Linked DNA regions of Arabidopsis thaliana. The protein of the gene in region 1 interacts with the protein of each later gene in a pairwise test. Each region holds a gene or a part of one and is shown in the gene's direction. Other genes may lie near its edges.

Evidence for each region. Proteins that work in one complex are often made in the same cells at the same time.
Region 2: the proteins of AT5G47570 (region 1) and CSLC04 interact in a protein complementation assay, tested with the Arabidopsis thaliana proteins (one large-scale study listed by BioGRID).

The regions. Positions count from the first base shown.
Region 1 is NC_003076.8:19,292,046-19,296,459, reverse strand, and holds AT5G47570 (NADH dehydrogenase ubiquinone 1 beta subcomplex subunit), read left to right. Parts: upstream 1-1,659; 5' UTR 1,660-1,793; coding exon 1,794-1,931; intron 1,932-2,006; coding exon 2,007-2,093; intron 2,094-2,179; coding exon 2,180-2,275; intron 2,276-3,534; coding exon 3,535-3,591; 3' UTR 3,592-3,873; downstream 3,874-4,414. Other genes in the region: ASG7 (uncharacterized protein), read left to right, coding at 1-1,512. UniProt on the Arabidopsis thaliana protein: Accessory subunit of the mitochondrial membrane respiratory chain NADH dehydrogenase (Complex I), that is believed not to be involved in catalysis. Complex I functions in the transfer of electrons from NADH to the respiratory chain.
Region 2 is NC_003074.8:10,503,840-10,509,785, forward strand, and holds CSLC04 (Cellulose-synthase-like C4), read left to right. Parts: upstream 1-1,871; 5' UTR 1,872-2,270; coding exon 2,271-2,906; intron 2,907-3,046; coding exon 3,047-3,355; intron 3,356-4,073; coding exon 4,074-4,478; intron 4,479-4,556; coding exon 4,557-5,228; 3' UTR 5,229-5,426; downstream 5,427-5,946. UniProt on the Arabidopsis thaliana protein: Beta-1,4-glucan synthase rather involved in the synthesis of the xyloglucan backbone than cellulose. Seems to work simultaneously with xyloglucan 6-xylosyltransferase.

The DNA.
Region 1 (4,414 bases):
CTTGGTGAAGCTATGGTTAGGAGTTACTTTTTAAGACCAAGGTCACTTGGGTTCTGCCATGGAGATTCTGATTACAAATGGTCAACTTCTCTGGTTCTTGTTTGCCAGACTACTACTGTAGCTATAGGGACCATTGCTCCTGCGATCAGATGGTTCACGGCTGTGAACTTCAGGTGTCCGATTAGAGGAAAGAAGTATTATAGAGATGAGTTTAGAATAGAGAGTTACTGGACACATTGGTTCTCAGAGAAGAAGCAACATCCCTTAAGCCTTTGGATCCTCAAAGAACGCAGATACAGGAAGACTGCACACAATGCAAAACGCTGGATATTGGATGTATGTATTGTGATACAGTATGTGATTGTGTTTGGTAGCAAAATTATCCGTTACATCTCGGTATCCTGTGTGGGTAAGATCTTGTTGTGCTGTCATTTCGCCTTAAGGACCAGTAATACTATCACACACAGTGAGTCAGAAAAATCCGATTCAAATCCAAGCTCGAGACAGGACCTAGCGAGTTTTGTCCTGCACCTTGAAGGAGAGGACCCGCTGGTGGATGTGATGGTGCGGAGCAACCGGGAAGCGACAGATCATTGGATAGAGAAGGGCAGAAAGAAACAACCAGTGAATCTGATAGAGCTTTTGGAAGCAACAACACCCATTTCAAAAGGATTTGAAGGGATTGCAGAGTTCGACAGCAACAAGGTGGCTTCTCTGGCCCACGGAGAACCGCCCAATTGTTGGGCTCTCCCGCTTGTAACACTCACAAGTATTGCTGTTGCACTTCCCGACATCAAGCCCTCCTCCCTGAAGAAGTTACTCAATGCTGTCAACGAGGCACTGGAATATGTCAACAAGTTTGAATGCGTCCTGGATACCGGAGGAGAGTCAGTTAACCTCAGGAAAGCTGCTGAGGTCGTTTGGCTAGGTGTTGATCTCTATCACAAGTGGTTTGATGTGGATCTTCGGAAACTATCAAAGCAACAAAGAAATCCAGAAGAAACCCTTCGGGAGCTGATGGAAATCGCGAAGAAAGAGTTCTCAGAGTCATGGCAGATGAACCTGATGGTATGCATGAAGCACAAGCCCTCTCACTGGCCCATCAAGACTCTAGCAGCCAACTCCATGTACCGAATCTGTCAAACAATTCTACTAACTTACGAATCAAGAGACTATGGAACAGGGGAAGCTCTGTTGAGAAAGCTGGAAAGCACAATATCAGACATAGTGTCAGGTTGCTTTTGCAACGTAGCACAAGTGATATCCGTCAAGTGTTTGGTGTCAGCTGTAGAAGTAAGGGAAGAATCAGTAAGAGGAGCAGCTCTGCATCTGGGAAGAACAGAGAAGATTCTAGAGATCTTAGAGAGAAGAAGGTTACCTAAATTGAGATGTGATCAGATGAAGAACATCGACGAATGGAGAGCATTCTACAAGATTAACTCTTGCGAATGTGATAATAACAACAAGACAGTTTATCCCGACTCGGACGAACTGCGCCTCACTGTTGAGTAGTTTATAGATATGTTAAAGGTTGTAGCTTTTTCTGTTTTTGTACCTTTGTGTATTCACCACATGAATCTCTTTGTATATAGTAAGAATCTGAAGCTTTTTGACACACTTGAAGTGTATGTGTTTGCTCATTTCGTTGGTTTTAAAATTCGTTAATCGAAATTACAATATTGACCTCTTTTAAAACGATGGCGTTTCAGGGAATCGTTTCAGTGACTGCGTCTTTCTTCTCTCTCTATCTGTAATTTGATTGGATTTTGGATCGAAACCTGAAAAGAGCGAAAATGGCTGGAAGATTGAGCGGTGTTGCGTCACGAATCATGGGTGGAAACGGCGTCGTTGCCCGATCCGTCGGTTCTTCTCTCCGTCAACGCGCCGGAATGGGTCTCCCCGTCGGCAAACACATCGTCCCCGATAAGCCGGTGAGTCAAATTTCTGTTGTAAATTTCTTGTTAGATTCTTCTGAAAATCTGATGTTTACAAATTGTGCGGGTCAGCTATCGGTAAACGACGAGCTGATGTGGGACAACGGGACTGCGTTTCCAGAGCCTTGCATAGATCGGATTGCTGATACCGTCGGAAAGGTTTGGTTACACGATTTCTAATTGCTGGTGATTCTCGGTGTAAAAAGAGATTGCTTTTCTGATTGATTTTGGATTAATGTGAACAGTATGAAGCATTGGCATGGTTGAGTGGCGGATTAGGGTTCTTTGTTGGTCTCGGTCTGCTCGCTGTTTTGAACGACAAAGCTTCTAAGGTTCCATTTGTAAGTTCAAAGCTTTCAACTTTCGAAATTATAATCAAGCCCATTTTGTTGTCCTGAGTGTGATGATCGAAGTCATGATTATGCTAAGATCTATCATCCCTATGCAGCTGTTATTATGTATGTTGTTCAACTCTGAATTTGATACATATGTTTGGCATTGGCTTATTTCTGAGAATAGGTTTTTGCTGGAATCTTCAGAAACTCATTAACTAAATGTGGACAGAAAACATAGGAATCTACAAAATATGCTCGCGTAACAGAGAATGTGTCAATGTTCTTTTCTTTATTTGCTGAATTGCCGCAATATTTAGCTTTCAGTTCTGCATTTTGTCTGTTTATGAACATGAACAATTCTTGCTGTTTGCTTTTGCATCTGACCAAAGTTACTGGACTAGATGAATCTTATGTCCGCATTGCTTCCATAATCCTGTCTTAATTAATTTGAGCATGTACGTTGTAGTTAGGAACACTTGAAAGAAACACCCACAGTGTTCTTGGGAACTCGGTAAATGCTTAAGCGTATGCTAGAGGTGTATGTACCAGCAGCTATAATCTATGTTTTAGTTTTCTTAGTGTCCACTGGCCAAGAATGAAAAACTCTGTATCAAAGGTTAATAGGTTATACTGTGATGAGTCTTGTTTTGAAGGATTCCGAGTAAAAGACTTAGGCCTAAAAAAGGTGCTCTGGCTTTTTGTCTAGACATTGGTGCTGTTCATTTACTCTAGAAGTTGTTCTGTGGCATCTCTTAGAGGTGTAAGAAAGACATGAAGGCTCTTTGAGGTGCATGAGCAGCTAAAATCGATGAGTTGGTTCTCTTAGTGTCGACTGGCCAAGAATCATAAACTTTGTACAAAGGCTATACTATAATGAGTTTTCTTTAAAGGACTTCGAGTTATAGAAGTTGAACACCACACCGGGGCTAAGAAGTTGATCTATGTCTTCTTGTCTATACATGAGTTGAATTGCTGTTCTTCTTTTTACTCCAAATGTTACTTCTCTTAGTGTCCGTTGGCCAAGAATCATAGACTTTGTATCAAAGGCTATTATGATGTGTCTTGTTTTGAAGAACTTAGGGTTATAGAGGTTGAACAGCACTCCAAGGCTGAGAAGTTGCTCTATATCTTCTTGTTTATACATGAGTTGAATTGCTGCTCTCTTTTACTTTAGAATTTGTTCTGTGGCATATCATCTCTCTGCTTTTGTGTCATTGTGGAACTTGTTTTCCATATCATGTTAATCTCTTACTGTGTTGTTGCAGACACCGAGAGTGTATCCATATGACAACCTGAGAGTTGAGCTTGGAGGAGAGCCATAGAGACCCATCTAAGTGATCTGCTCATCAAAACAGGAAGCGTGTTTTCTTCACTGCTTTGTTCTTTAAAATGTTTGTTGTTTCCTGCTTAGAACTTGAAGACAAAAGAATAAAAAGAAGACTTTGTTTTTATTATATGCGTTGTCTCTGTAATTAACAGTGACCAGTGAGAGAGATCCATAAGAGAAGACTTCTGGTTCAGGAAATCTTGAGTTGTGTTTTGTAACTTTTAGAAAACAATCGTCTCGCAATTCAGTTAGCGCCATGTGTCGAACCAAGTTTGAGCCTCGTACGACTTCAATCAAACAAAGGCTACAATAAAAAGAAAAAAGAAAAAAACAGAAAGACAAATTAAACCTAATGGGGCATGTGAGTGGGACATTGAGAGAAACTCGAACTTGTTCGTATCCGTCTTGGAATTGAAACTTTGGTTTTATATCCATTACGTATTCGGTATTTCTTTCCTCTTCTGTATATTATTCATATCTTATACGCATTTATTTAGTTCTCTTTGTTTTCTCTGATGATTATCTCTATCAAAATTCATCACGACAAGTAGTTTAGTAAGAAATTCGTATTTGTAAACATAGATCTTATTCTTACGGGTAAAAATTAATATGATAAAAGATTGGTGTGACTTGTCTAAAATTTTTATACTAAGAAGAATACTTTAAGAAGCTCTAATTTGAAATTTGATAAGTGACTGTGGGATGATGAATTGGATTTGACTTGTACAAATACACGTCTAATGTAGACTTGTCACAATAAGGGGCAAGTTTAGAGACTACATAGTCTACAATGCAGATGATTAAAACTATAGTTGATA
Region 2 (5,946 bases), on another chromosome or scaffold:
AATATAATAATATTTTATGTTCGTAAAATAGAAACTTCCCATGTGATTTTCTTCTCTCACCGCCGGTTACGGTTATTGTCTTTTTCTTAGACTTGAAAATATTAAATCTTTTTGTTATGGAATTTTACTACACAGCTTGTATTCATATAGTTTTGGGTTAATAGTTAAAACATAAAACATATATCGTGATTATAGTTTACTCACATTTTACATGTTGTTACACTGTCGATATCTATCAAATATATTACTGTTGTAATTTCTTTTCAAAAATACTGTTCTAATTTAATCCTGCATCCAACAAACTTTTTGACCAGAGAGAACCAATATATATATCAGTATGTCTATAAAAAAATATGATAATTGTGAAAATGAGATCCATATTTTTGATTATATATATAAGTGAAATAGATTTGATTTGATTTACTTTGCAACGTCTTGTGACACAAGCATGACATAATCGAACCCATCTAACAATAACATGCAGTATATCGTTGAGCTTCTAGCAAAATCAACAAAAATCTAAAATCTTTTAGTAAAATAATATTAAACCTTTTATCATTAAGAATTTTTTTAAAATTAACAATAAACCCATGACATTTGTCTAATCTGCCATAGAGTTGAGGTGGGACTTCTAACATGCTCTATTATCTCTTGTACTCCGTTGATCATCGATGATAAATCACAAGCTAAATGTTTGTGAATAAGTGAAAATTTATCTTGGAAATGAAAAATTATCCAAATCAAAGGGTTACAGTAACTGGATAATTCATTTAACACTTTGAATCAACAAGATCAAATAAAAAAAGTTGGAAGACAGTGAAGCGACAACATAGTCCATTACTTTGAGTTAAAGTAATATTATAATTTAGTAAAGTTGATCTAATTACATTTTTATAAGTTTAATCTGGTCATCGCTGGACCAAGTTGTCATCCTCCAAATTCCTTACCAATCATACAAATTGATTTTTGGCCTTTTCTTGGAATCATCTCTTTTTTTTCTTTGTGTTTTTCTTCTCATTCATTTTGTTTTTCTTTAATACACACACATGCATGTATAAACGCAGTTTTATGACTGGACATATCGCGTAAGATCCATAAGCCAATAGCTTTTTTTAAGTAAAGTATTTTCATTTTATGGGTATAATTATAAAGATGTAAATTTCCCCAAAATAATATAAACAGCAGTCTCTCTCCTACTTAATCAAATCACTAGACGCGGATTTGCTTAACAAAGTAACTTTAAACCAAATCGTTCCACCTAAAAGGCTAAAACCATTAGGATTGATTTTGGTCAAAAAAATCGGTTACTATTTTTTAATTTACTTAGAAGACTGGCAAAAAAAAATGATTCCAAACTACTAACATATAAGATAAAATGTATTTAACATCAAATTAAAATTTTCACGTTAACTAATATAAAAAAATGATATGAAAGAAAACCCAACTAATCTTTGATTATATGCGTTAGCCTTCTTCATTAGCCTTCTTTAAATACTAGATTAGTACTTGATAAACTTTTATTGTCTATACAATATATCAAAAAAAATGCCTCTAAATTAACTACATAAATTAGTAATTTCTGAAAATTAATAAAAAAAACACGTAACCATAACTTCCGAGTATGTTTACTTTAATAATTTTCACGGGATTCTGAACTCTAAATAAAGATTGATTGATAAAAAAATATTAAAATAAAATTCACGGGATTTACAAATTAGTTATCATTTGAATCATTTGTTATAGAATCTAAAATAAAATAGTAAATTGATCATATAGTAAGAAATCAAATTTTCTTTTTTTGTCATAAATAAATATAATTTGTTCTTTAGTTATGCACGCTGGAAATAGATCCCACTAATAAAAATTGGACTTTTCAAACAAAGAAAATAATTAAATAAAATCTTCCTTTACAAAAACAAAAGAGGAAAATTCAAAGAAAGGAGAACTCTCTTCTTCTTCTTCTTCTTCTCCTCTCCTCTTTATTTACTTAGTTGGTTCACTTCAGCACATGATCCTCGTCTCTCTTTCTTTCTCTCTCTCAATCACAAGTTTCAGTTACACAGCTGAACCCAAAGTATCTCACATTCTGATCTAATCAGAACACTGTTTTGTCTGTGTAACATAAACAAACGATCCTGTTTTTATGGAAAATTTAATGAAACAGTGACGATTCTTCTACACTTCTTTATAATGACAAACATTTCATAGTACCAAAATACACAAATACCTTTTCTTTATTCTTCTCACCCTTCTCTGTTTCTTTATCATTCATGGCTCCAAATTCAGTAGCAGTGACAATGGAGAAGCCAGACAACTTCTCTTTACTAGAGATCAACGGCTCAGATCCATCCTCATTCCCCGACAAACGTAAATCCATCAGTCCAAAACAATTCTCATGGTTCCTTCTTCTCAAAGCTCATAGACTCATCTCGTGTCTCTCGTGGCTAGTCTCTTCGGTTAAAAAGCGAATCGCGTTCTCCGCGAAGAACATTAACGAAGAAGAAGATCCTAAAAGCAGAGGAAAACAAATGTACAGATTCATCAAAGCTTGTCTTGTCATCTCCATTATTGCCTTGTCCATAGAAATCGTTGCACATTTCAAGAAATGGAATCTTGATCTCATTAACCGACCGTCTTGGGAGGTTTACGGGCTTGTCGAATGGTCGTACATGGCTTGGCTCTCGTTTCGATCCGATTACATCGCTCCTCTTGTCATCAGTCTCTCCAGATTCTGCACTGTACTCTTTTTGATTCAGTCTCTTGATCGGTTAGTCCTCTGTCTCGGTTGCTTTTGGATCAAATTTAAAAAGATCGAACCTAAGCTCACCGAAGAATCTATCGATTTAGAAGACCCCTCCAGTTTCCCAATGGTCCTTATTCAGATCCCAATGTGCAACGAACGAGAGGTAAACTATAAACACTCTGTTTTTACTCTGTTTTCACTTTGGTTTTACTCTGTGTTGCTCTGTTTTTACTCTGTTTTTATTCTGTTTTATGTTCTGTTTTCTCTTACATAGTATAATTGTTATGTTTTGTTTTCTTCTAGGTGTATGAACAATCAATAGGAGCAGCTTCACAACTTGATTGGCCAAAAGATAGGATCTTAATTCAAGTATTAGATGATTCAGACGATCCAAATTTACAGCTTTTGATCAAAGAAGAAGTATCGGTTTGGGCCGAAAAAGGCGTAAACATAATTTACAGGCATAGGTTGATCAGAACTGGTTACAAAGCTGGCAATTTGAAATCAGCCATGACTTGTGATTACGTTAAAGATTACGAGTTTGTGACTATCTTCGACGCAGATTTCACACCAAATCCTGATTTCCTCAAGAAGACTGTTCCTCATTTCAAGGTAAGAACACAATCTCTTTATTCCCAAACTTATAAAAGGAAACTTCTTTCTTGACGTTTCGTAATTTACGATGAATGTTTTAGAGAAATTCACTGGAAAAAGATTTGTTTCTTTTTTACACTTTTTTGATAGAAAATATTTTTTTGATTATACTCATCACCGACAGTTGTCTTTGCTGGTTTTATCTATTTTTCGGTGGATCATGTTCTAAGTAACCGACAAATTTTTATATTGTTTTTTGTATTTTTGGTTTTATGTTAGGAAAATCCAATTTGGTAATTTGTTATGTATGAAATCGAAGTAACCGACAAATATGAAATTACAAAACTCATGACTTCTTTGGTTGATTTTTCTAACATGACAAGTCTTCAAATTCAATCTAGTTGAAGCTAATCTTGATTCTGTTTGATTCCGGGTTTCAATTATTCCTTTGTTTTTACATTTACATATTATAATAATAATTGTTTTATAAGTTATTGTTTTGTGAAAAATCGAAATTCTATTATTTTATTTTTATGTACCCCACCTAAAGAGCATATCTTATTTTTCATGTGGGTTGTTGGAGTCGAACTCAAGATGACTGAGACCGGAATTTTTAAGTAGACTAGTCAATAGATTTTGTTAAAATGTAAAAGTATATTCATGTGGAAGTTTACATTTATGCAAACATTTTTGAATATCAAGATTCTTACGAGTGTTGTGTTGTTTGTTTGCACAGGGTAATCCAGAGCTAGGGTTGGTCCAAGCAAGGTGGTCATTTGTGAACAAAGATGAGAATCTCCTCACGAGGCTACAAAACATAAACTTATGTTTCCACTTCGAAGTAGAACAACAAGTGAACGGTGTGTTTCTCAATTTCTTCGGATTCAATGGAACCGCTGGAGTATGGAGGATCAAGGCATTGGAAGAATCCGGCGGATGGCTCGAGAGAACCACCGTGGAAGATATGGATATCGCGGTTAGAGCGCATCTCAACGGCTGGAAGTTTATTTACCTTAATGATGTTGAAGTCACTTGCGAGTTGCCAGAGTCTTATGAAGCTTACAAGAAGCAACAACATCGTTGGCATTCCGGTCCTATGCAGCTGTTCCGGTTATGCCTTCCTTCAATTATCAAATCAAAGGTAAAAGTTTATTTCTACAACTAGTGATAGTAGTTAAACATCATTACATATACTCATTGTTTGTTTTTGTGTTTGTAGATATCGGTTTGGAAGAAGGCGAATTTGATCTTCCTTTTCTTTCTTCTAAGGAAGCTTATTCTACCATTTTACTCATTCACACTCTTTTGCATTATACTTCCATTGACAATGTTCATACCCGAAGCCGAGCTTCCGTTGTGGATCATCTGCTATGTTCCTATCTTCATTTCGCTTCTCAACATTCTCCCGTCACCTAAATCTTTCCCTTTCTTAGTCCCTTACCTTCTTTTCGAAAACACAATGTCAATAACCAAGTTCAACGCCATGATCTCCGGGCTGTTTCAGTTTGGATCGGCTTACGAGTGGGTTGTGACGAAGAAAACCGGGAGATCATCGGAGTCCGATTTGCTAGCGTTTGCTGAAAAGGAAGAGAAGTTGCATAGGAGAAACTCGGAGTCAGGTTTGGAGCTTCTGAGCAAACTTAAGGAGCAAGAGACAAATCTTGTAGGGCAAGAAACCGTGAAGAAGAGCCTTGGAGGGCTAATGAGGCCGAAGAACAAGAAGAAGACGAACATGGTGTTCAAGAAAGAGCTCGGGCTTGCGTTCTTGCTGCTAACCGCAGCTGCAAGGAGCTTTCTATCGGCGCACGGTCTTCACTTCTACTTTTTGTTGTTTCAGGGACTGTCTTTCTTGGTTGTAGGGTTGGATTTGATCGGAGAACAGATCAGCTAGACACACACAAAACCAAGACAGAGAACAAGGAAAAAAATACCGTTTATATTCACTATTTTTTTGTTTGTTTTTTAAATTCTTTTCCCTTTTTATATGTGGGTTTTATACATAATTTTCAAGAACTTATAATGTCCAGTTTCAGATAAATGAATTGAAACGAATTTGTTATATGATTTTGGCTTAACTTTAAAAAATCATAGCTCTTAGATGTTTTGTTTGGATAAATATTCAACAGTATTTCAATCACAATTACTCAATCACATTACCTCTAATAGAAAATATTTTTGTCTTCTCAACTTTGATTTGATTACCATAGCATTTGTGGACAGAATGAATGGAACTACAAACTATTCTCATTAGTGGAAAGATTACAAATGATAATTTGTCTAGTCATAGTTTAATTTGTCTCGGAAAAATACTCAAAAGAAGTGTAGATAGAGATCAGATTAGTTATCTATATATACATTTTTGTAGACGTTTTTGAAGATAATGTTGAAGATTTGAGCCATAATTCAACAATTAATTCAAATGGGTGGGTATAACCCGGTTTAACTCTGTTCGGATCTTGGATAACATGTTTAATTCTGTTCTGATCTTGGATAACATTAATTTTTGGAAAAGTTACCTAAAAACTAATAATTAAAAACAAAAATTAATGATTTAATTACCAAATTTAATATAAACAATATCTCTAAACTAACCATATTTGTTATTTACT